2 linked regions of the Rhinolophus ferrumequinum genome follow. The protein of the gene in region 1 interacts with the protein of each later gene in a pairwise test. Links are inferred from orthologs where the notes say so. Each region holds a gene or a part of one and is shown in the gene's direction. Other genes may lie near its edges.

What was found.
Region 2: the proteins of RBSN (region 1) and EHD1 interact in binary tests that used the Homo sapiens proteins (3 or more experiments, as listed by UniProt). The link is inferred for Rhinolophus ferrumequinum from reciprocal best matches to the Homo sapiens genes RBSN and EHD1.

Annotation. Positions count from the first base shown.
Region 1 is NC_046300.1:41,245,772-41,257,716, reverse strand, and holds the start of RBSN (rabenosyn-5), read left to right. Parts: upstream 1-5,965; 5' UTR 5,966-6,154; intron 6,155-8,254; 5' UTR 8,255-8,430; coding exon 8,431-8,578; intron 8,579-11,945. UniProt on the Homo sapiens protein: Rab4/Rab5 effector protein acting in early endocytic membrane fusion and membrane trafficking of recycling endosomes. Required for endosome fusion either homotypically or with clathrin coated vesicles.
Region 2 is NC_046294.1:6,688,388-6,700,542, forward strand, and holds the start of EHD1 (EH domain-containing protein 1), read left to right. Parts: upstream 1-6,122; 5' UTR 6,123-6,340; coding exon 6,341-6,744; intron 6,745-10,579; coding exon 10,580-10,677; intron 10,678-12,155. UniProt on the Homo sapiens protein: ATP- and membrane-binding protein that controls membrane reorganization/tubulation upon ATP hydrolysis. In vitro causes vesiculation of endocytic membranes. Acts in early endocytic membrane fusion and membrane trafficking of recycling endosomes.

The DNA of each region.
Region 1 (11,945 bases):
CAGGAAAACCAAGTTGGCTTTGAAAACCTGGGATCTTACATGACCATATGGCGCCCCCTGGTGGCTGGCTAGGCTCACCCTGTGTGTCTACTCCACAGAGTAAACAGTCCATTGTGACAATGAGATCTCCTTCCAAGGCCAGCTCCACTCCCCAGAGGCAACGACTGTTAGAGTCTGTGTTTCCTTCCAGACATTCAACAAACATCCTTTCAACTGATTCTTACTAAGGGGTTACTACGTATGCCAAGCACACAGTATTTTTGCCTTCCGTATCTCTTCTCAACACAGAAGCCAGAGGTCAGATCCGGTTCCTTCCCTACTCCCAACTCTCCCTTGAGGACCCCGCCAACTCAGAGTAAAGGCCAAAGTCCCTACAATAGCCATGACCTGCCCTCTCCCCTTGAGCTCTCAGACCTTCCTATAACTCCCTCCCTTGCTCCCTCTGTTCCAGCCACATTACCTTTTTTTATTGTAGTAAAATAGACACAATAAAATATTTATCATTTTAACCATTCACAAGTGTACAGTTCAGTGGCATTAAATACATTCACAATGTAATGTAACCAGCACCACTATCTATACCCAAAACTTTTCCCTCGGCCCCCCACAAATCTCTGCATCTATTCAACACCAACTCCCACTCCTCCCCTCCCCCCAGACCCTGGTAATCTCTACTCAACTTTCTGTCCCTATGAACTTGCCTCTTCTAGATACTTCATGTAAGTGGAATCATACAGTATTTGTCCTTCTGTGTCTGGCTTATTTTGCTAAGCAGAATGAAAAAGGTCCAACCATACGGTAGCATATATCACGTCATTCCCTTTTATGGCCGAATAATATTTTATTGTACGAAGAGATCACATTTTGTTTATCCATTCATCCAGTAATGGGCACGTGGGTTGTTCCTACATTTTGCCTATTGTGAATAACGTCGCTATGAGCATGCGTGTTGACCTCATGACTTTTACTTTAACCTGCCAGGCATGCTCTGCCTTAGGGACTTTGCACTGGCTGTTCCCTCTGCATGGAAGTTCTTCCCCAAGAGATCCACATGGCTCATTCCTCACTGCCTTCAGGTCTTTGTTCAAATGGTGCCTTCTCAGTGACCCCCCTACTACATACTGCGACCTGGCACTTCCCATACCCTTTACTCGTTTTTTTCTTTTTTCGATGCACTTATGACTGTCTAATGTACTATAAAATATACTTCTTGGGTATAGTTATTGTTTAGTGGCTGTGTCTCTCCACTAGAATATCAGCTTCATGAGGTCAAGAACTGCTGCCTGGTTTAGCTCAGGCACCCACGTAGCAAGGTGCTCAATACATAGGTTGTTGAATGAAAAAAATCACAGGCCTAAGTCAATTTCTGAGTTAAACTGGAGTCACAAGACTAAGGTGTTAGATGCTCTACACATCAAACTCTTCAATATCTTATTAAATACTTAAAATACCACATGTACACAGATTATTTCAAATCTGTGTTTGAATTGGGGTTAACTTCTCAACTGACTGGGCGTACATATCTCCAGAGATTTAGCTCAGAGGAATGAGTTCTGAAGCTGCAGACAACCAGTGTGATTTTCTTCTCACAACCTGAGGACCATGCTGAGCCCTTTACTCTCGTCCGTCGCCCTGGGACCCTCTTGGAGGTATGCACAGCACAGTTGAGCGGGTGAGTGGGAGCAGAAATCCAGTTTGTGACCCACTCACTAGGCACAGGGCTTGAGTTCTGGCACAGGGCTCCATCCGTGGAAGCAAGAGGGGCCTCTTTCCCATTCACCAAAGGCCCCAATAGGCTGGCAGTGGCCCTGTTTTGTCAAAGGAGATGCCAGCCGATAACCTGAAAATTGGGTGGCCTTGCAGTTCACATGTTAATACCATATTTTCTACTTAACAAGTCTGTTGAGGCTGCTACTCCCCACCAACCTCCCCCACAAAATTCAATGAATGTGCGAGTAGTTATTATTTGATTCCATTCTGACTTCCCATCTGGCAGGGCCATGACTCTCAAAGATATTTCCATGATACCAGATAGGATCCTCGCATCTCCAATGACAGTGTCTGACTCAGCTTGACACAACTGCCAAAGCATTTAAATCACACCTCCCTTCCTTTTTCTTTAACAAACATTCACATAGTCCTTCCTATGTGCCAGGCCCTGTTCCAGCACTGTATTAACCGATTGAATGCTCCATCCTAGGAGGTAGATGGTATTATTCTCCCATTTTACAGATGAGGAAACTAAAGCTCAGAGAATTTCAGTGACTGAACTGGGACCTCACAGCTGTGGGGCTGGGATACAAACCCCAGTTGACTGGCTCTGGAATCTGTGCTTAGAACAGTTATGACTGGCTACCTCTTAACTTTTTCTTGTTCTCCTTTTCTCCCTCTTTCCCTACTTATTTCTTTCCCTCTCTTCCCTTTCCTTCTCTCTTTCTCTCTTTTCTTTTGTCCGTTCTCTGCTTCCTTCCTGACCCTGAGCAGCTGCCACCTGCTTCCCCTGGTCACCACCCAGCCTGGCACACCCTTTGTCAATTCTCCAAACCAGGCCCTGCCCTCCTGTGACCCTGTCAGTCCTTTGGTCATTACTCTGTTTTCCCTGTGCCAGCAGATGGGGTGTGCCAACCTCTGTCTCCTCAACCTACCTGCTCATGACCACAGCAGCAGTTGTCAGAGGCCTGGGCCAGCCTGGAGGGAAGCTGGATCTTTGGGGAGTTACATGCCGTACCGCACACCTTCCCCTAACATACGCTTACTGACATTATGATTTCCCTCTCCTGCACAGGTTTTTTAATGTCATGCCAAGACATCTTGTGCTGCTTGAGATGAACTTAAACAATAAGGGGTCAGAAAGAGAGAGAGAGAGACAGAAACAGAGACAGAACTCTAGGCCAGAAGGCAAAGGTGAAGGAGCCCTTGTCTGAGACTCGACCCTTAGACGGGGCTCGCCGTAGTGCTGGGAAGATGTAGTGCCTTCATAGTATCACTCTAGGTATGAATGAATTTTTCTGTTTCTCAAAGGACACATGTTCTTCCCCAGGACCATGCTTTTGCATATGCTGTTCCCCAGGCCTGGCAAGCGCTTCTTGATCATCTCTACTTGAGGGCTCTGCGCATGTGTTGCTGCCTCTGGGAAACTTTCCCTGAATTCCCACAGGGGGTTTCATCAGCCAGAACATCTGCACACATGTGCACACTTCTCTTTCTCTCTCTTTTCTTTTCTTCCTTTCTCCTTCTCGTTCTTCTTCTTCTTTTTTTTTTTTTTTAACTAATTGGATTATGTTCCCTGCCAGCTGAGGCCTCCTTGAAGACTGAGACTGTCTTGCATGATTCTCTTCACTTCCTCTATCTCTATGCCTGGGACATGGTTGGTCCCCGGAAAATGCTGAGAGATGAAGAAAAGCTCAGAGATCAGGCCTTCACAAAGGAAGGATAAGTGGGGGTTGTGAAAGTCTCAAGACAAGATGACTCTGGGTTCAGTACTTAACAGCTGTGTGATCTTGGGTAAATTACCTAATCTCTCTGTGCCTCAGATTCCTCACTTACAAAATGAGAATAATATTAGTTTGTACCACATAGGGTTATATGAGGATTAAATGAGTTAAAACATGTAAAGCACATAGAACAATGACTGGCACATGCAAATCACTCAGTGAATATTAGTTATTATTACTAATATTAAAATAGAATTAATAATAGAGCTGCCCAAAGGATTTAAATAATGAAAGTGCTTTTGATAAACTGTAAAGCATACAGGAAGATCTTTGCCACCATCATTCTTAAAAATATCAATAGAATAGCAGTGGCTGATCCAGCATGATTTCCGGAATTAATTCACAAGCTGCCGGCCACATTACTACTTTTTTGAGTAAATGAAATGGTGAATGCGACACTGGCTTTTGTAAATGATAGAATAACAGGCAAAATCATGATGGTTTAATAAAAGGTTCATCACCTGACTCCAAACATAGTCCTGCTGATAAGTGTGGCCAGTTCTGGGACTTATCCGGCTCCATACATTCAAGAAGGTGTTTTCACTCTTTTGGTTACTCGGAAACAAGGCAGGAGGTGGCGGTGGGTAGGTAGAGCTGGGACTGATGCTTTGCTTCTGACAGGTTGGCAAGTCTCTTGTCTGTGCCAATACACAAAGGGGAGTCACTGTCTACTCCTACCAACCCTATAAAGTTAAAAAAAATACATATTTTTTGGGCTATCAGATTGAAAAAAACAAAAGAGCTCGAAAGTCTTTAGAACCCATTTTATCTGTTTAGATGGGAAAACTGAGGCCAGGAGAGGGAAAGGGAACAGTTGAAAGTCACACAGTAAGGTCTCTGAACCCCCTACCTCACTGCCCTTCCACTGGCGCTTGCTTTCCAAAATCTCTATGCTCCCCACACTGGAAGCCCCACATCCTTAAATAGAAGGTGAGGCAAGCCCAGCACTAGTTGCAGAATCAGTGCTCCAATTTAGAGGTGGAGCCACTCCCCAGCCCCCACCCCCCAACCTCCCTCTGCCCTGGCAACCACCAATACTTTCTTTGTATCCATGAGCTGTTCTTTTTTCCCAAAGATTCCACATACTCATATAAGTGAGATCATACAGTGTTTGTCTCTCTGTCTACTTATTTCACTTAGCATGAATGCCTTCAATGTCCTTAGGTCCATCCATGTTGTTGCAAATGGCAAGCTTTCATTCTTTTTAATGGCAGAATCATATATATATATATATATATATATATATATATATATATATATCACATCTTTATCCGTTTATCAATCAATGGACACTCAGATTGTTTCCATGTCTTGGCCATTATAAATAATACTGCAATGAACATGGGGCGGGGGGTGGGGTGGGGCATACATCTTTTTGAGTTTAGTGTTTTCATTTTCATCGGCTAAATGCCCAGAAGTGGAATTGCTGGATCATTTGCTAGTTCTCGTTTTATTTTTTTGAGGAACCTCCATACTGGTTTTAGATAGTGGCTGCATCAATTTACATTTCCACCAACAGTGTACAAGAGTTCCCTTTTCTCCACATCCTCGCCAATACTTGTTATTTTTTGTCTTTTTGATAATAGCTATTCTAACAGGTGTGAGGTGGTACCTCATTGTGGGTTTTTTGGTTGTTGTTTGGTTTGGTTTTTGTCCACGTGGGAATTATACTGTATGCGGTGTTTTCTTCCAGTTTTACTGAAAAACAATTGACATACATCACTGTATAAGACATACAGCATGGTTTGATTTACATGTTGTGAAATGATTATCACAATAGATTCAGCTAACATCCATCTTTTCATATAGATGACAACCAAAAGAAAAGAAAAAAGGATAAAGCAAAAAAAAATTTTTTTTCTGTGAGAACTCTTAGTATTTACACTGTTAACAACTTTCCTGTATATTATACAACAGTGTTAGCTATAGTCATCATATTGCACATTACATCCCTAGTACTTATTTATCTTGTAACTTTTGACCACCCTCCTCCAATGTCCCTTCCTCCACCCCTTCATTGCAGTTTTGATTTACATTTGAAAATGTCAGATTTCCCACAGATTTGACCACGCTGTCTACCCTCTGAATGGATACTTCCTCTCATTATAAGTCTCCACTCTCATGTGGTTCTATTCCGGATCTTTCCACAACCTCCAAGTCTCCAAAATATTCCTTTTATCTCTAGCCCTCAAGAACTTTGACTCAAATTAATTTAGAACTGTAGCTGGGGGTAGGGTAGGAGGCGTTAAAGACCCCACCCCCAACCCTGCTGCCTCATTCATTGCACACCTTGGTCGAAAGCTAAAGAATTACATCATATACAAGCTTCTGTTTTCCCACCTGTACCACGGGGTGGAGAGCAAGGGGCTGGCTTTAACGCATTATACGTAAGTACCTGGGACGTCAAAACGTTGCAAAATTACTGAGCTCACCCTGCTGGTTCTTACAGCGCCTGCGCAGAAGCCGCCGGTCGCCCAGCGCTTTTGGAATCTGTCGCGGCCCCTTTCGCGCGCTGGAAGACTCGGCGCTCCGTGGGCGTCTGTCAGCCTGTCTTCCGGTTTCGGTGCTGCCACAGGAGCGCCTGCCGAGCGCCAAGTAACCGATGGAGATGGCGGCCGCGCCGGTGTGATGAACCGTGGAGGCCCAGAGCCCGTGCCAAGGTCTGGAAAGGCCTGCGAGCCCGCGGGAGACTGGCCGGTTACCGAGGGTTGGACTGGGCCTAAGGGGCCGGGCGCTGCTCTCTTCGGGCACCGAGACGGGCGGCCGAGCGGGTGTGGGACCGTGAGGTTGGGGTGGGTGTGACATGCGTAGTGGAGGAGGTGGCTTTCGGGTCTTGCTGTTCGCTCGTGTGTGCTTGCGTTGAGTGGGCTCTGTTTGGGTGTGTGGTGTCGCGGGGCGTGTACAGTTGTGTGTGGTTGTGCGGCTGAGGGGTGGGTGGGTGGTCGTCTCCCGGGTGGTTGTGTTTGGTTCTCTGATTGTGTGAGGTTGAGGCGTTTGGGGTCTGAGTTTTTGTGTTGTTTGTAACGTTTGGTGTGGCGTCTGTGCGATGTGTGAAGTTGTCATGTCTGCCCTGCGCGGGTGAGTCTTTCACGTTGTGTGTACTTTTGCGACGTGTGCCTAATCGTGTTGAGTGAGGTGGAGGCGGGTTGTGTGCGGTCGTGAGGCTGTGATGAGTGCGGCTGTCTCTGCGGCATCGGCTGAACGTATAGGTGCAGAATACGTAGGTTTTATTTTTATGTTTTGCTCGGTGTACAGTGTGGGCTTGCATACGTTATGGTTGTGGGGTTTGGCTTGGTGGTTTGTGGTAGATTTCTTTGGTTTGTGGTGTGTGTTTGGTTGTCTGATCTTACAGTTCATTCATTGTGTTTCTTGTAGTTTGTGCCAAACATTGTGCCAGACCTTGGGGATATGGTGGTGGAAAAACAGACATGGAATCTGCCCTCACCGAGCTTCCAGTCTCATGTGTTCAGTTACTTTATACACTTGTGATTATAGATTGAGATCAGTGCTGTGTAGAAGTGCAGGGGCTGTCAGATGGGAGGAGGCCTCAAGTCAGAGGCATTTCCTTGAGGAAGTGAGGTTGGATGGAGATGTGAAGGGTGTGTGTGTGTTTGATTTGCGGTATTAAGGGTGAATTCACAGAACAGAAGGGGGCTGTCAGAGTCAGGGTGTCAGATGAACCACTGGGTGGGAAGAGAACTGGAGCTGCTATTTCAGTGACTATCTGGAAACGCGGTGAGATTTGCTTATATATAGTCATTGGGTTTCTCAGCTAGAGGAAAGAAACAGACTTTGTTTATTTTCTGGGTCACTGCCACCCTTCAGGTTTGAGGACCAGGCCGTCCCACCTCAGTGGCCCTCTACGCAGTGGTCCGTCTAACCTGAGGGTCATACAGTCCCCCTTACTCTCTACTGTGGTTAGTGAACTCAAGCTCTTGGGGAGAAATTTCTCTGCTTTTGTGAAGTGGTTTTGTGGTCTGGGTTCTCCTTATGACCGGGAGTCTTTCTGAGGTGACATTGGAAGTGACTTTGCCATGGCCCAAGAAAACTGAAACTGTAACTTACTAAGCCCTGAATTGTTTAAGCACGAAATCCTTTGATTTTTAAAGCTGTGAGAACTTTTGGCTTCCTGCTCAACTGTCACTACTGGTTTATAAAATATAGTAAGTTCATTGGAGAGAAAGTGCTTTACAAGTATAAAACACAAAATAGATTTTTCTTTTTGACCACTAGGTTTCTAATGCTCCTCCTTAGACTGAGGTAGGGATTTTTGTTTTGTTTATTAGGGCAGGCACTATCTCTTTTTTATTGTTGTATTTTTGACATTGGTGCAAGAGCTCAATAGATGTGATTGAATCAATGATCAAAATACAGAGAGTTCAAGAAAAACTCCTATTTGTTGATAAATACTTCAGACATTACTCCTATGATCTACAGATTATGAAGTTGGATCATTTGGAATGAATGTTAGAGAATTGCCTGGGTATTGTGTTTGCTGTTGAAGTTGAATTTTCCTTTCGTATCTTCAAGCATCTGTGCTTCCCACTTTATTGAGCTGCCGTTGTCCTGTGATGTTCTTCTATCTTAGATGGTTTTATGTTTTGGTCTAAGGATTTGAGAAAGCAGTTTGCGTTCTCAAACATGTACTGAACAAACATTAAGTATCCTTGTTGAATGATGGAAAGAACAAAGAGAATTCTGAATTGCTGCTAATTTGCCTGATTGGCTTTCCCCCGCCCCTTCTTCTTTCCTTTCTTAAGGCTTCTCCCACGGACTCCAGTGAGGAAACCTCGCCCAGGGCCATGATACCACTTGCACATCATCTGTGTGCTGCCTGGTTAAGTTAATGCTGCGGGAGCCCTGGTCCTTTGCGGAGGAATCCAGCTGAGGGTTGGCATGAGGCTCCTGCCTTGTGCGGGTTGAGAGGGACACTGTCATGGCCTCTCTGGATGACCCAGGAGAAGTGAGGGAGGGCTTCCTCTGCCCTTTGTGCCTGAAGGACCTACAGTCTTTCTATCAGCTTCAGTCCCATTATGAAGAAGAGCACTCCGGGGAAGACCATGATGTCAAAGGGCAAATTAAAAGTAAGAGGCGAGGAGTTTGCTTATCCCGTTCTGTTCGTGGGAGCTTGAACTCCTGGGGTGGTTTTCATCAGCTTCTATGTTGCCTCTGGAACATGATATTAACAATCATAAATGGATAACAATAGCCACAAACATTTATCTAGCGCTTACCACGTGCCAGGCTTTGTTCAAAGTCTTCCCATGAATTAACTTCATTTAATCCTCACAATAGCTATGCTGCGATGAGCCCCATTTTACTGATGAGGGTATCAGACACAGAGATTAGATAACCTGCCTAAAGTCACACAATGAGGCAGAGCCCGGCTTTGAACCTAATAAATGTAGTTACTGTGCTCTGCTGACTGAATTGTCTCATTGCCAGCCTCCGAGGGTTTTGGAGTGGAATTCTTTTCCTTTGCTATGCAAGTGGAGGCACATTGTTGACTCATTTACTTGTCATAAATTCAAGCCTTCCTGCCATTCTTCTTTTTTCAACTAGACCTTGTCCTCTGCAGCTCAGGTAAAGGAAGGTCATAGTTGAAAAGCAAAGAAAAACGACCCCGAAAATTAAAACTTACTATTTGAGCTTTCAAGGGCTCAGGTGTTGGAGAGTTGCAGAAATTTTGACTAAACAGCATTCATTTCCTGGACTTCAGATTCTAACCCCTAACTATGATGCCACTGCCTTGGAACTCACTTTTTCGTTTTCGGCTAACCTTACATCTGGTCGCATTTCTGAAGGCAATGCGACTGAAAAGATCTGGATGCTGTTTTCACAAGTCTTTGTTGGGTGGGACAGAAAGGAATGATCATGTATTCCTACCATGTTTCCCCGAAAATAAGACCTAAGCCCTAGCATGATTTTTCAGGATGACATCCCCTGAACATAAGCCCTAATGCGTCTTTTGGAGCAAAAATTAATGTAAGACCCGGTCTTATTTTCCGGGAAATGTGGTATGTGTACTTTGGCCTCCGCACATATGAGTCATATGTACCCGGTAATCAAATAGTCACACTCTATGTCATATTTTTCAGTTCAGAAAAAAAGAATTGCTGAAAGCATTAACAACTTCTTTTCAAAAGCATGACAAAGTAAAACAGTTTCAAAATCCTGAAGACGGTGATGACCAGGTGGGTTCTGGCTGGAGCAGAGCCATAACTGTTAGAAGCTCTCCGCCCTCTCCCCCCAAAAATGCTGTTTGCGCTTTATAGTTTTCAGAGTTCTTTCACATATAATTTCATTTGATTCACCCTGCAGTAGGGTGGTTGGGCTCATCTTACAGAGAAAAAGTGAGGCTCAGAGAAGTTGAATAACTTACTCAAAGTCACAGAGGAATTGAATTCAAGAGCTAAGCCTTGAACCCATGTCTTCTATCACCTCTGAGACTACTGCTGCTCTTTCCACATGAGATCACTGATGATGTGAGGCCCTGAATTCCAATTCCCGCATGTGCTGCAGCTGGAAAACAAACAAACAAACAAACTGATTATCTAAGTTCCTTTGGACAATTGAATGGCCTCCATGATTTTCAATGAGTGTCCAGTCTTAGCTGAACCGCGTCATGTACTCTGAGACGACTAAGACTTTGATGCCAGTGGGTAGAGAGGTGGTAGAATGTCCTCCGATTCCTCTGATAACCCTTTTATTAGAAGAAAAATGTTTAAGGTTATTTAGGGAATAATAGACATGGGAATCTATTTAGAGAATACTAAATAGAGTAGAAATTTTGTTTCTTGTAAAAGAAACTTGCAAGTATTCACTTGTTTTTCTCCCTCCTTTTTCCCCCCATCTCTACCTCAGAAGAACTAAATTGAGTTAAGCATTCTTTAGTAGGGAAGGAATTCTTGATTATGTGTTTCAGAATCAGGAAAGTAAAGTTTTAAAGATTGACATCAAAGATTTTTGAGAAAATCCTTTGAAAAGCAGATCACCTCTCCATTTGGTCTTTTGATTCTTAGAAATTTTGTGACATTGCTAGTTTAGGCAAGTGAAATGTTAAAACCAAAAGAGGGGACCTTGGTTTTAACATTTCACTTGCCTAAAGTGAAAGTGAAATGGTTTCAGGTTTTGGAGGCAGTTTAAAAAAGAAAATTTAAACTTGACATTACTAAAAAGTGGTCAGTGGGTTTGGGTCCGAGACATGGTTCAGCTTCAGTTTAGCATATCTACAGTCAGTAGAAGAAAAAGTGGTTGAGAATTTGCTTTTGCTTTGTGTTTTAAAAAACATATGGGATTGTTCTTAATTGGCCCCTCTGAAAGGGCTACACCCACCCTGGGAAGGTTGCCAGACAGTTTTTCTATGCCTCTTACAGTGGTAAAATGGCATGGATTGCCTGTTTAACTTGACATAGTTTAGTCTTGTTTGCAGAAATGAATTGGTGTTTGCTAACTCCAATTTTCTGTCTGTTAGACTCTTTATTTACATCAGACACTGTCCTCTTCACTGTTGTTAAGAAAGACTAATGTACAAAGTCTCATAATTAAGTTTGTGAACTTGTTGCAACGTTGCTAACCTTTTTTGATATCAGAGGGATTATTCATTATGAATTTGTACCAACTGGACAAACAGTTAACCTAGTATTTAGAAGTGCTGAAAAGGCTGCGTGAAAAAGTTAGATAGCCTGAACTTTTCACCAACAATTTATGGCTCTTGCATCACGACAAGGCACCAGCTCACGGCACTGTCTGTGAGAGAGTTTTTAGCCAGTAAACAAATAACTGTATTGGAACACCCTCCCTACTCACCTGATCTGGCCCCCAATGACTTCTTTCTTTACGTGAAGATAAAGGAACTATTGAAAGGAAGACATTTTGATGACATTCAGGACATCAAGGGTAATACAACAGCTCTGATGGCCATTCCAGAAAGAGAGTTCCAAAATTGCCTTGAAGGGTGAACTAGGCGCTGGTGTCGGTGCATAGCTTCCCAAGGGGAGTACTTCGAAGGTGACCGTAGTGATATTCACCCATGAGGTATGCAGCACTTTTTCTAGGATGAGTTCGCAAATTGAATTGTCAGACCTTGTATTTTAGAGGATGTCCTTTAGTTCTGGTGGACCTTATTTTTCCGGTTGGAGAAAGCTATATCACAGTGACTGATAATCAAGGAATTTGCTTATTAGTCTGACTGTCTAACAAAGACATGTCTATATAACCTTATCAATTTCACCTCCTACCTGCCAGCCCCTCCCTATCTACATTTACCTATATTTTTGAAAAGCAGTGGCAGTGTTTTTAGTGTTATTCAAGTGACAGAGCACTTCAGAATCATGGGAACTCCATGAAGTATTGATCTATTAAATGTAAAAAAAATTACGCATATATCATTTTTTATTATATCTGGTATTTTCTAGTGGCAGAAGGGATAGCAGTCACCTAAGATTTAAG
Region 2 (12,155 bases), on another chromosome or scaffold:
TGAGGCTCTGGCCAGAGGATCGTCTCCTAGTCGAGGCAGAGCGGTTTCACACAAGAGTCACACAGGTTTGCAAGCAATAGGGTTAGGCAAGGTGAACAGAGTCTTACGGTGTTCAGTGCAAGCCCCTTCCGCGCTGGGTGCCCTGGGATGCAGAGCAATGGACGTCAGGCCAGGCTGATGAGACGGTCAGAAGGTCAGGCTTCAAGCGCTCTGTCTGGGACGAAGGCACATGCAGCTGTCAGCTCGTGGGCTGAGGCCTGAGCGATGAGCCGTCAGATAGCTCTGATCTTATGCCCGAGACGTGGTGTGGTTCCCCCATCTGCAGTCCCATAAAGCTGTCCAGATGGTCACTCTCCACTCTGGAGTTATCTGGTTAGGGTGTTCACTGGGTACACCTTTCACAGCATGCTCTGGCGTGATGCCACTTTGCGACTGACATAGCTATCAGAATTATTAGTGTCCATTTTACATTCATAATTAATGCTCTATACAGTACTTCTGGGTCATGAGTCTACAAATGTAATATCGGGGCTGGCCACATAGTACCTGAGGGAAGGGTATCTTGTTCCTAGCTGTGGGGACAGAGCCCCAGAGAGCAGTTTCCAGGCTCTCGGCCTCACGTGGAAAGGTGCTGGCTCCGGTAGTAGATGGCCATCTGCTGTGGCTAGTTGGCCATCAGCTGTTACCAGTTAGCCGTTAGCCACTGATATAACTGCCGTGGCTGCGTTGGTTGGTTGGCAGGCAGAAAAGTGGATGGTGGATTGCGGATCATGTGGATCCTACTTTCTATGTGTGTCTTGCCCAGCTGCCAGCGCAACTGCGGGGCAGGAAGGCCCCTCGTTGGGGTACTGGCAGATGTTTGCTCCCTGTGTCTCCAACCCAGCCACCAGCGAGAATATAGTGGTATGACTCCCCTATCTATGGCTCCCTGGGTGTTCCTTTTTGGCCTCACCATATCCTGTGTTCTTGTGTGGGGAGCGGGACCAGAGACCCTGCATGACACGCCACATGACACTAGCCTTTTACTTTTTGTTTTTGACAATTATGAAACCTTCAGAATAGTTGCAAGCAAAGTACAATGAACACTCATATACCCTTCATTCAGTTTCACTAACTTAACATTTTGCCATATTTGCGCGCGCGCTCTCTCTCTCTCTCTCTCTTCCCCTCTCTCCCTCCCTTATACACACACACACATTTTTTCTGAACCATTTGAAAGTAAGTTAAGGAATATTTCAACATGTACCACCTAAGAAAAATGACATCTCTTACACAACCACAACACAGTTACCACTTTTAGGCATAGTGACAGTGACGCAGGACGATCATCTGATACGCTGTCCACTTCTGGATGTCTCTGGTTGTCCCAGTAAACTGGGATCACGCCCCACATTTGATGGCCAGGTGTCTTCAGTCTTCTTTAAGCTGAGCCACCCTCAGCCTCTCTTTGTTTTTTTAAGACCTTGACATTTTTGAAGAGTACAGGCCAGTTTTGTAGAATGTCTCTCAGCTTCCCTCAAATGTGTCCATGATATAAAATTTGGACAATATAGGAAAGTAAACAAAAATTGTGCCAGCTCCTATGACGCAAGGATAGCCCTGTAGACATTGCCCGTAATCACTCAGGTTAGCTGCCTTCCCTGTTCTGTGTGCTCTGCACATTCACATTTAATCCTGCATGCTAGGTGCGTTGGTATCCCATTTTACAGCTTGTGTCCTTACAGTTTGTGTCCCAGACACCTGGTGTCTTGCTAAAGATGACACAGGCTTTAAGAGTTAAACCCGACTAAGCACTTGCCCTTTTGCTACACTGCCTCTCAATAGTGGATGGCAGTGTGTGTGTGTGTGTGTGTGTGTGTGTGTGTGTGTGTGAAGCCAGATCACGCTCTATTCAGTTTTGAAATCTGCTTTCCCAGCTAGCGGTACTCCGTGATAACTTTAGTTTCCTTCCATTTTCTTCTTAACTTCTGTTGAATGGCTGCCAAGTTTTGCCAGTCAACAAAAGTGTTGATTGACAAAAGGACAAATCCATTGCTACAGTAATCTATTGCTGTGCAACAAATTACAGGTATCCCCCCCCTGCTATAAGAAAGTAGAGTGTTCCTGTGAAACCTTTCATAAGTAGAAATGGCATAATGCAAAGAAGCAATGGCCATTCATTTATATGAAAAAAATGTTGAGTGGTCCCAGACCCCTGGGCTCCAGAGGCCTCTGTGGGTGCCAGGACTCTGGCTTGGAGGTGACACAGTGTCAGGGGTGCTCGGGATCTCTGCTTCCAAATCTCAATGAGAAGAAGTTGGAGGCCCAGGCGTGTAGAGTGCCTTCCTCAAAGTCTGAATGAGAAGCTGAGCCTTGGGAATATTAACACTGTGCTCTTTCCGTACTCGAACCATTTGAAGTCACAAGGTGGGAGCTGGAGGCAAAGCAGAGGAAGAGGGTTTCGAGAGCCTCTTTCTCAGGTACAGCCTGGGGTGAACTCTGCCCTCAAGCCAGAGCCCCACACCTCACTCCACCCCACCCTGCTTAGCCGCCTGGGGGCCCAGCCTGCGTTTTACTGGGGTGCTGTGTAACCTCTCAGTGCTTGGCAGAGCTGAGCCAAAGGCCTCCAACCATTTTGATGGAAACTGTATGTCAGGCTGGAGGTGGGGCCCCCACTGCAGGGCTTCCAAACACCTGTCTCTGTCTCTGGGGCCTCTGGCCCCATCTTGCAGGGGCTGCTGGAGCAGACGCTGTGCTGAGGGTGCAGTGTTCAGCCCAAACTCCCTGCAGAATGCAGGCACCGTCCCAGCTGTGCTGTGGACACATTGCATTTGGGGACAGGAAGTGGTTTATCACTTGGTACATGAGGATTCTGTCTTCTACAGTGATACCACCATGGGTCCCTTGGCACGGGCTTGGGGGTCCCCTTGCTCTACACTGATGGAAATGGCGGGTATAACCCTGCGGTCCTATGATCACGGCAGCCTGAGGGTACATGACGTGCTGTGGATGTTGCTGCCTGAGTGACCAGGGTCTTAGCCGAACCTGTGTGCGTGCAGCCACTTGACCTCCTTATGTCCCCTGCAGGCAGGTGCATCTGCTCCAGTTGCCTCTCCCTCCCATGGCCTCTATCCCCTTTTCCCCCGTGGCTGGGACACAGTCTGAGCCTCACTGTGGGCCTCACAGGCTGGGGGCTGGAGAGTAATTCTGGCCCCGACCATGTGTCACACTCAGCGTTCGGGTCACTGAGCCCACCCCTTCCTCTGGCCCAGCCTTCACATCCACACCTCAGGGAGGGTCCGACATTGTACCCAAGGCCTCGTCCACTGCTGCCTCTTCGGGAGATGGGAGAGAGGCCTTGTGGAGTGGAGAGGACGCCCTTCTCTGGCTGGCGCTGGAGACCCTGGATTGCCAAGGAACCGGCCTCCCGAGTGCTTGACCTTGTTTTGGCCAAACTGATCTGTTGGCCACATCTGTTCCTGTGACTACAAGACCCACAAGCTGCACTGATGTGCACATTTTCTCAGTGGACAGAATGAACCACTCCCAGAGACAAACCTATGTTTTGGGCTTTTTCCAGCCTGATTCTTCTGCCATATTTGGAGAGAAACTGTTTTTTTTTTTTTTTTGAAGTTGTTTTTAGGGGCCTTGTAGACACTTCTCTAGACCAGGACATCATGGGACTGCTCTGAGGGAAAGCAGGTGGCCCCTTTCTGGTTGCTGAGTGCAGTCTCAGGGAGACCTAGTGGCACCTCAGGGCGGGGTTTTTGCGGGTGTGTTTGTGAGTTTGAAAGAAGAAAACACTGGGAGTGAGGCACATCAGAGAAAAAGGAAATATCTGAACCCTTCCTCAGTTTTTTTCCCGGGAATCCAGGAAAACACAAACAGAAAGTGAAACGGAGGAGAAACCAAAAGTGAAATGGTTCATTCACATTTCACAAAACTTTCCCATTAAATGGAAGTTACCGGTATGTTACTCAAAAAAAAAAAACACCCAGAAGGACATTTTCCCAGTCTGGGGCAATACTAGATAAGGAAGCTGCCCAGGACCTGGGTGCAAAGTCTGTGAAATTGGGGAAACTAATTTCCGCCCACTTGAGCCTCATGAAAGAACCCCTCTTCCAGTCCTTTGAGCTCCTTGGAGAAAGCCAAGTGGCCATACAGAAACAACAGGGTTCATTTATAAATAACCCAGGAACATTCTGTTATTTTCAATTTTATAGGGCTGGATTTTCCTAGCACACAGGGCTCTGGGGAGATGTGCACACCATGGTGGGTCAGTGTGAGTGTTGCCGGGGACCTAGCTCCTTGAAGCCTCATTCAGGCCACTGAACAACCACCTCTTTCAGGATCCTCAGCCCCGGGCCCTTCCCTGGAACAGCTCAGAAGTTGCATGTCCGGGGTGGACCCCTTAAAGCGTCATGTAGGAGGCAAGACCTTTGGCTCTAAGGCTGGCCCAGGAAGTCTGGACTGGGCCCGCCTGAGGCTTCTTGTCATCAGCTGGCATACAGCCTATGGTGACACCCTGTCTAGGAGTCTCAGTATTCTCTTTTGAGAAGAATGCCCAAAAAAGGGTCTCATGGCTTTTCACATTTTACTGTGGTTGATGAAAAGAATGCTAATACAAATAAAAGGAGTAAATCCGGGACCTAAGATTGCAGGCAGTGCTCTCCAATGCTTAGCGAGGGAGAGGCAATCAATTTAACATTACTTATTCCCTCAGAAGGCACTGAGGCCTGACCTTACAAGGGGTGGGCAACCAAACCTCCCATATTGCCCCCTCTGGCTCCCAGTTGACTCAGCTCCCCTAATATTCTGCCTGTTCTGAGTTCCTGCCTCTGTCCTCTTAGCCTGCCAGCCTGCTTTCTTCCCTGATATAGGCACCCTGCCCTCCAGGTTGCCACATCTCCCAGAAGCCAGAAAGTTGGACGTGAGGGCTTCAAGTGCCTAGCTACATTTTAGATCTGTCCAGGAGCCTCCCGGACCCCCTCTGGCACTTTGGTGTCCTGTACTGGTTACATAACAATCACAGTCCCCAAAGCTCTGACATCACCCACTGAAGATTCTCACCAGCCTAGACAGCCCAGTGGACTTCCACTTGTGGCCAAGGACCATGGCAGGGGAATGAGCCTAGTGGAACTGCCTGGAACTGGTAAGCAGGGGTGAGGGTTGGGGCTACAGGTCAGCATGAAAAACTGGTAACTGGTGGTGACCCTGAGAGGAAAGCGGAAGTATTTGGGTTTTTTAATTTCCCCTAAGTTCCCACAAGATTTCACTGTTGCTCCATGTTTCCCCTCCTCCTCACATAGGTAATTTCCAATTTCACTTCCTCAAGACTCATGCGGCCAGGCAGCCTCAACTTCCTCTTTACCCTCTCCCACCCTCCCCCAGATGCAGTCTTTTTGAGGAGGCCGTCTCTTCTCCCACCACATGTCATATGTCATATTCGCCCTCTACTGCTTGTGTCCATCTCCAAATTCCCAGCCCTTTTGGCCTGAGGGGAGCTCAACTCTTGCTGGTCAGATTTTCCCCATTGGCTTCCTCTCCCTCCATTTTTCTTTACCCAGTTACCACTCCTTCTCGGAAGTTCAGCTTCCTCTATCTCTTTCTTGCCTCCCCTTCTCCCAAAGCAGACAAAGATTCGGGGATGAGAGGGAGTGGCAGGGAAGCAGGCGCGAGGAGGCAAGGAAGAGCAGTGCAGATGGGAGACGCGCGGCCCCAGGGGTCCTCCAAACTTTCCGGAGATTGAGCCGTGGGAGGAAGAGGACCGTTCATGGGGGAACTGCGGGTGGGGCGTGTAGTCAGAAAGCTGGAGTGTCTAACTGGGCGTCTCGCGGACGCTGGAAGGCACACTAGCGCCGGGACCTCCTCGCGCCCGGCTCCCGCTTCCCGTCTTCCCAACCGCAGCACTTGCACGAGTCGGCCCTCTAAAGGCGAGGCGAAACCAGGGTGGTTGCCACGGCACCCAGGCCAGGGGCGGGGAGCTGAGCAAGAGGCGCTCGCGAGATTTGCAATCGGCCAATGGGAGGCGGGGGAGGGCGGACGTGGCGTGGAGACCGCGGGCGGGGCTCTTTCCTCCCCCTCCCAATTCCTTGCGTCCTTGCGGCGGCGGCGCACATGCGCGCACCCGAACGGGAGGACGGGCCTTATAAAGGGTTCTCGATACAGCGCGCGGTCCACTCCGTAGAGGGCGCACCGCGGGCTGTGCCGTGCGCTTGCGCAGTGTGGGCCGCTCCCCGCCCCCTGCCCTGTAGCCCCGCTACCCCTCCGCCTGCCGGCCGGGCCCCGCCTCGGCTTCGCGCCCTCGCCCAGCTCACAGCCTCCGTTCTGCTCCGCAGCAGTCAGCCCCGTCTCCGGCAGCATGTTCAGCTGGGTCAGCAAGGATGCCCGCCGCAAGAAGGAGCCGGAGCTCTTCCAGACGGTGGCTGAGGGGCTGCGGCAGCTGTACGCACAGAAGCTGCTGCCCCTGGAGGAGCATTACCGCTTCCACGAGTTCCACTCGCCCGCGCTGGAGGACGCTGACTTCGACAACAAGCCCATGGTGCTGCTCGTGGGCCAGTACAGCACGGGCAAGACCACCTTCATCCGGCACTTGATTGAGCAGGACTTCCCGGGAATGCGCATCGGGCCCGAGCCCACCACAGACTCCTTCATCGCGGTTATGCACGGCCCTACCGAGGGCGTGGTGCCTGGCAACGCTCTCGTCGTGGATCCACGGCGCCCCTTCCGCAAGCTCAACGCCTTCGGCAACGCCTTCCTCAACAGGTAGCCTCTGGGGACAAGGGGGACGACCAGGGCCCCGACCCCGCACTCGGATCCCGACCCTCCCGCGGTTGCCCCTACGCCATCCTTTGTCTCCGAGGCCCCGGAGAGACCCTCAGCGACCACTCCCTGGAACAGGGTCCTCTGCCGCTTCCCATAGAAAACCTATTTGGGGCTCTGGGAGTGGGCGTCGTTGGCTTCCCCGACTTTTGTCACCCCCAGAATTTTCTAGGTTATCAGTTTAACTCCCAAAGGGCCCAGCCCTACTTCCCTCAGAACCAAGGATTAGTCTTGTTTGGCATCTCTTTCTTCCAGACTGGATACACCTAATTCATTCAAACTACCACCCCTCTTCCTTCAAGGGTTTTTCTTAAGTGTCTGGGAAAATACGGTGAAACTTTTAGCCATTCCCTTTGCTAATGTGATGTGTGCTGTGCTGTGCCTCCCCTGGGACCTGTGGTTTTGTGTAGGAGGAACGGGGAGGATGTGCTGTGGCCTGCTGAGTTTGGGGCAGCAGACAGATGAGGTTGGAACTCTCCTCCCAAAGTCTGTGGGTTTCATGAAGCAGCCTCAGGCGGTGGCCCTGGGCCCCCTGAAATGAAACACGATTCGGGCCCTGAGTTCCTCTGTAAACTCCATAGGAGGTTCCTTCATCTGTTTGGGCCTCAGTTTCCCCAGTAAAATGGGTGAAATCTGACGTCTCATGATGAAGATAATCCTCCAAGATTCTGTGATGCTCGGAATGAAACCCATTGGCCTCCTCTCTCAGGAGTGCAACAGCCAAAGCTCACTTTCCTCTAAAGGAACTGGGAAGTGCTAGTCAGTGTTCTTAAAATCCCTCCCCCCACCCCCATGGAGCATACGAGGACTTCACAGATCTGCCCTCTCTGCCACCTCCCATTCAAGGAGTGGGTCTGGGTAAGAGCCTAGGAAAGAATCCTTGACGCTTGCCTTCTAGGTCTCTGCCCTGTATGATCACATTCCTTTTCGGACACTGTCCAGCTGCTCTGCCCAGGGAGGACCAGCTTGCCCCCACCTCCAGGAACAGAGTTGACCTTTAACAGAAGACGTGCAGGCTACTGTTGTCTTCTTGCCCTTTTCAGGCTTTTAAACTCATTCTCCTGGTGTTTTTTTCCCCCTTTTTCCTCCTCCCCCACCCCCACTCCTGTTCAGGCTGTTGTTTCTCAGTCTAGTTGTATAGGACACAGCTCCCCCGCCCATGCTGGTGTTATGAGCCCTGCGCTCCCCCCGGCTGAGATAGTCTGTCGCCAGTCATTGGTCAGCCACTCACGGCAGCTCTTGCCGGCTGCCGGCCGCTCACGCTGGCCACCGGCCGCTCATGGCAGCACATGGTAGTCCATGGCAGCACACAGCAGCCCGCGACAGCCCACAGCGGTTCACGCCGACCTCCGGCTGCTCACGGCAGCCCAGCTCCAGGGAGAGCCGTTGTTCACAATCTTAGCTGTAGAGGGCGCAGCTCACTGGCCCATGTGGGAATCGAACCGGCGACCTCAGCGTTTGGAGCACAGTGCTCCAACTGCCTGATCCACCGGACCACCCCATTCTCCTGTGTTTTTAGCTGATAGCATTTGTGTGTTAGGGCCAGAGTTGAGTAAAGCTCTTTGGGGAGACTCCTGAAGAGGCGTGGCCCCTTTAGCCTGGAGCCTTCCTCTGGAAGAGGATGCTGGTGTTTTAGAATTATTGTGAATGTACATAGGGGATTGGCTCAGACTGTTGGCTGGTGGGCGTGGTGCGATCTTGTGGAAAGTTTGGCTGCTATGCTGGGAATTCCAAGCATTATTAGTTCTCTACTTTTATGCAGAACTTTGGGGAGCTAGAAGGAAGTGTAGCTATAGCTCCCTTGACGGTCCTTAGGTCTCCACTTCTGCTCGTGAGAGAAGACCTTTTCTGAAAGGAAAAACGGGCATATGGCCTGTTTTCTGGATTTGGAGACCTAAAGTTTCAGAGCTGGAAAGGATCTTAGCCATCTAGGCAACCCCCACCTCGTGGGTTCAGGAAACCACGGTCCCTGCGCCCGGCTGATTTGCCTGTCTAGCTCACCCAGCAGGTGGATGCAGCTCTGATTATGTGTGCAGCCAGCATGGCTTCTATGCAATACAAAGAAAAAGTCAGGTGTGCTGGGTCCCAGACAGGCACTTTGATGACATTGGTGCCACAGGATGCGACAACCACACTTGTTTCCTTTTTGCCACCGCCTCATCCCCAGAGGCCCCCCAAATTTTAATGGCCCTGCTGAAAGGGGCCTTGTCAGCCAAAGATGGGGTGGGGCACGGGTTTGCACGGGAACTGAGGCCTGGAGCTGTGTCAGCCTGTGCCTCCCCACTAGCCAGGGCACACAAAGGGGGCTCTTCTCTGGCTGACACAGCCTCTCCCAGCGCCCTTGAAGAGACCCATTGAGTCATGAACTTGCCTTTCCGGCCTTTTTCCCCTAAATGGCTGCTCTAAGATTAAAATCAGATGGAGCAGAGGGAGGCAGGACACAGTCAGGGTGTCCAAAGATCGTGCTGTGAAAACTCATTGCGAAACCGGTACCGCCCCCTTGTAGTTCGAGGTGAAATCTGTGCATCCTTGCTGGTGAGAACATGGGATGGGATGCATCTGTACTGCTTGTACTTTATGTTTTCCACCACACGCCCTGGGCTTTGCAGCGCAATTATTTCTGAGTCCTACAGATGTGAACTTACTCACCAGGCTCATTCGCAAAATATTTTTATGTATGTTACCACCCAGAGCCAATTCTGCTTCAAATCTTTTTAGTTCGGTGTTCTCTCCAGGGACTCCCTCCCCTAGCAGGAACCCCAGGTCTGGCACGCACTTATTTACCCACGCACAGCTCTGCTGCGCCATGGGGGAAGATGAGGTCCAATTTAGTGCACCGTGAGGGTCAGCTGGATTTGCTCTGTTGTGTTTGCAGGCCACCTCTCACCCCTGGCCAGCTGCCCCTGGCCTGTGGGCCACTGGTCACTTGGGGGGTGGTGCCAAAAGGGGAAGCTAATCAGCTCAGATTCCTCCCCCTGTTGGAAAGGCAGCTTTAAGCCTGAGTCCTATAGACAATGGGTCAGTATTTTCTTTGCTCACAATACCTTTTTCAGAGAAGTTTTGAAAGGAGCCTTTTCTGTGTCCAGTCAAGAATCTCTGCTATCAGTTGGGACAGCCCCTTGCTGTCCTGGGCTGTTCTAAATCCAGGGAGAACTTAGGCACACACAGCTAAGCCCTCACTCAGGGGTTGCCAGCCTGTCTGTAGCCTCATTCTGCCTGGACCAGCTTGGACAGTCAGAGAATGGTGTCTGTACTTGTCTGCTCCACCACCTAGCCTGTGTGGTCCCCCAGCTTTCACTGGCCACCCACTGCAGTCCCTTCCCCTGAGCAGCTGGGTGGACGGCAAGGGCCGGGCCCAGCAGCAGTGGGAAAGGACCATCTGTCTTTGGTGTGTGGAAATGTAGACAAGTGGTTGCAAATTTTAACATGGAACCCCATGGTTCCAGTGTCACCCTTTTGCTTCCCTACTGGATTGGAACGGTGACCTAGGCTCCTTGCAGTTTTCACTAACATGTCAGCAACTTGAAAGCTGAACTCTTGAACTCCGGGGGAAAAGCTAACATGAGGAAAGTGCTGATGCGGGTCGGTTTGAGCCTGCTGGTTGGATTCCAGTTAAGAGAACATGTACGGTTTTCTGGCCACCCCGGGAAACAAGACGATAGAAAGCCTCCTGTAAATTCCTTGCTTCTGGAAAGGAAGCAGAGGTGACCGTGGAGCATGGACAGCAGCGATGGCCGCGTCCTGACCTCTCTCTCTTCCGGCTCTTGCTCTCGTGCAGGTTCATGTGCGCCCAGCTGCCCAACCCCGTCTTGGACAGCATAAGCATCATTGACACTCCTGGGATCCTGTCTGGGGAGAAGCAGCGCATCAGCAGAGGTAACCGGCTCTGACACAGCCCAGGGCTACTTTCATCTGATGTCTGTGACACATGCAGCCCGTGAAGTCTGGCCCCGCCCAAATGGGAACCCATTCTCCACTGGCCTCGTGTGTGGAGCCCTGCGAGGCAGGGGCTGCTTCCTTCCTTGGCTCCCTTTGCTAAGGTTGCAGGAGCCGTCCACAGCCCGTGTTCTGTGGCTTTTGTGGTTTTTAGCCCCTGGGGCATGCTGGGAAGGACAGGATTGGGAGATGGTGCCTGGGGCTGCCTGGGAGGTCACAGGAAATTGCTCAGTATCTGGGCCCAAGAAACCTCAGCCAGTACTGCTGACTGAACGAGCCTGTGTCCCCCAGGGGCTCTTCACACCCGGGAGCTCACACCTTAGTTGGTGTTTAAAAGCTTTGCCTCCCAAAGCCATATACGTTCCTGGTGAGGCTTGCAGGCCTGTGAGAGAACAGTTTGCCTCGGAATGTGTTTCAGTTTGCTTAAATGGTGGTCAGTAGCAGCCGCCCTGGGTGCTGGGCGTGGCGGAAGGTTTTTGTGCTTATTAGCGCACCAGGCCCATTCCACTTGTATAAACTCCTGGCTCGATTTTGCCAAGATTTTCTGAAGATCTGGTTCAGGACGTGCCTGAACTGGGTTCTAATTTTGCTGTAACTGCCCCCTCCCCCGTTTGTAGAAGGGAGGGAAGCTCGGGACCTGGAGGAACTTGAGGGCAGGAGAGTGATATGTGGCAGACCAGGAGTGGAGCCTGTAGCTGCAAATGTGCAAATGGGAAAATCAGACTCAGAGAGGCGTTGAGGACAAGTGACCTGTTTGTTTATCATCAGCTTGCAGATCTTCCCAGCTCCACTTGACCTCTGGGTTGTCCAGCGTTGGTGAGCTTTGCAGTTGAAGCCAGCAGCCTTCAACTTGAGATGTGGGCAGTGTGTCTGCTGTGGCTGGGGGGGCTGTTCTTGGTGCCGACAAACTTTGCTTCTCTTCTTTTCCAGGCCTATGGGCCCCTGTCTATATAGGATGGCATGAAAGCATACTGAGCCTGCTTTATCTGTCTTTAGATCTGCCTTAAACTTTTAGGTTGTCTGCCTGTTGATAATGACACTTCTAGGAGTTCAACGGAGTGAATTTGAGGACCCTTTCTACAAAGGCCAGGGCCAGGTTTTCCTTTCTTACTGCTATTATTGTTCCTACCTGGTTTTAAGAAACCGCCTAATAAGCAAGTCTGGTCATTTGCCAAAGCCAGGCTAGAAAACCAAATCAGTTACTCTTAAAGGGAAAGACCAGCAAAAGGTCATTGATTCTCAATCTGCCTCCAGGGCGGAGCTTTCCTGGAGGGAATCTCTATAGAGCTGTCTTTGGAATGACCCAGAGGAGTAGGCAAAGGGGCTTTGCCCAGTGCTCCCAGCCCCAGTTGATACGTACACATCTTTGAATGAGGGACATTAGCTTACGAAAAAGAGGCTTAACTTCCCAGAATGCC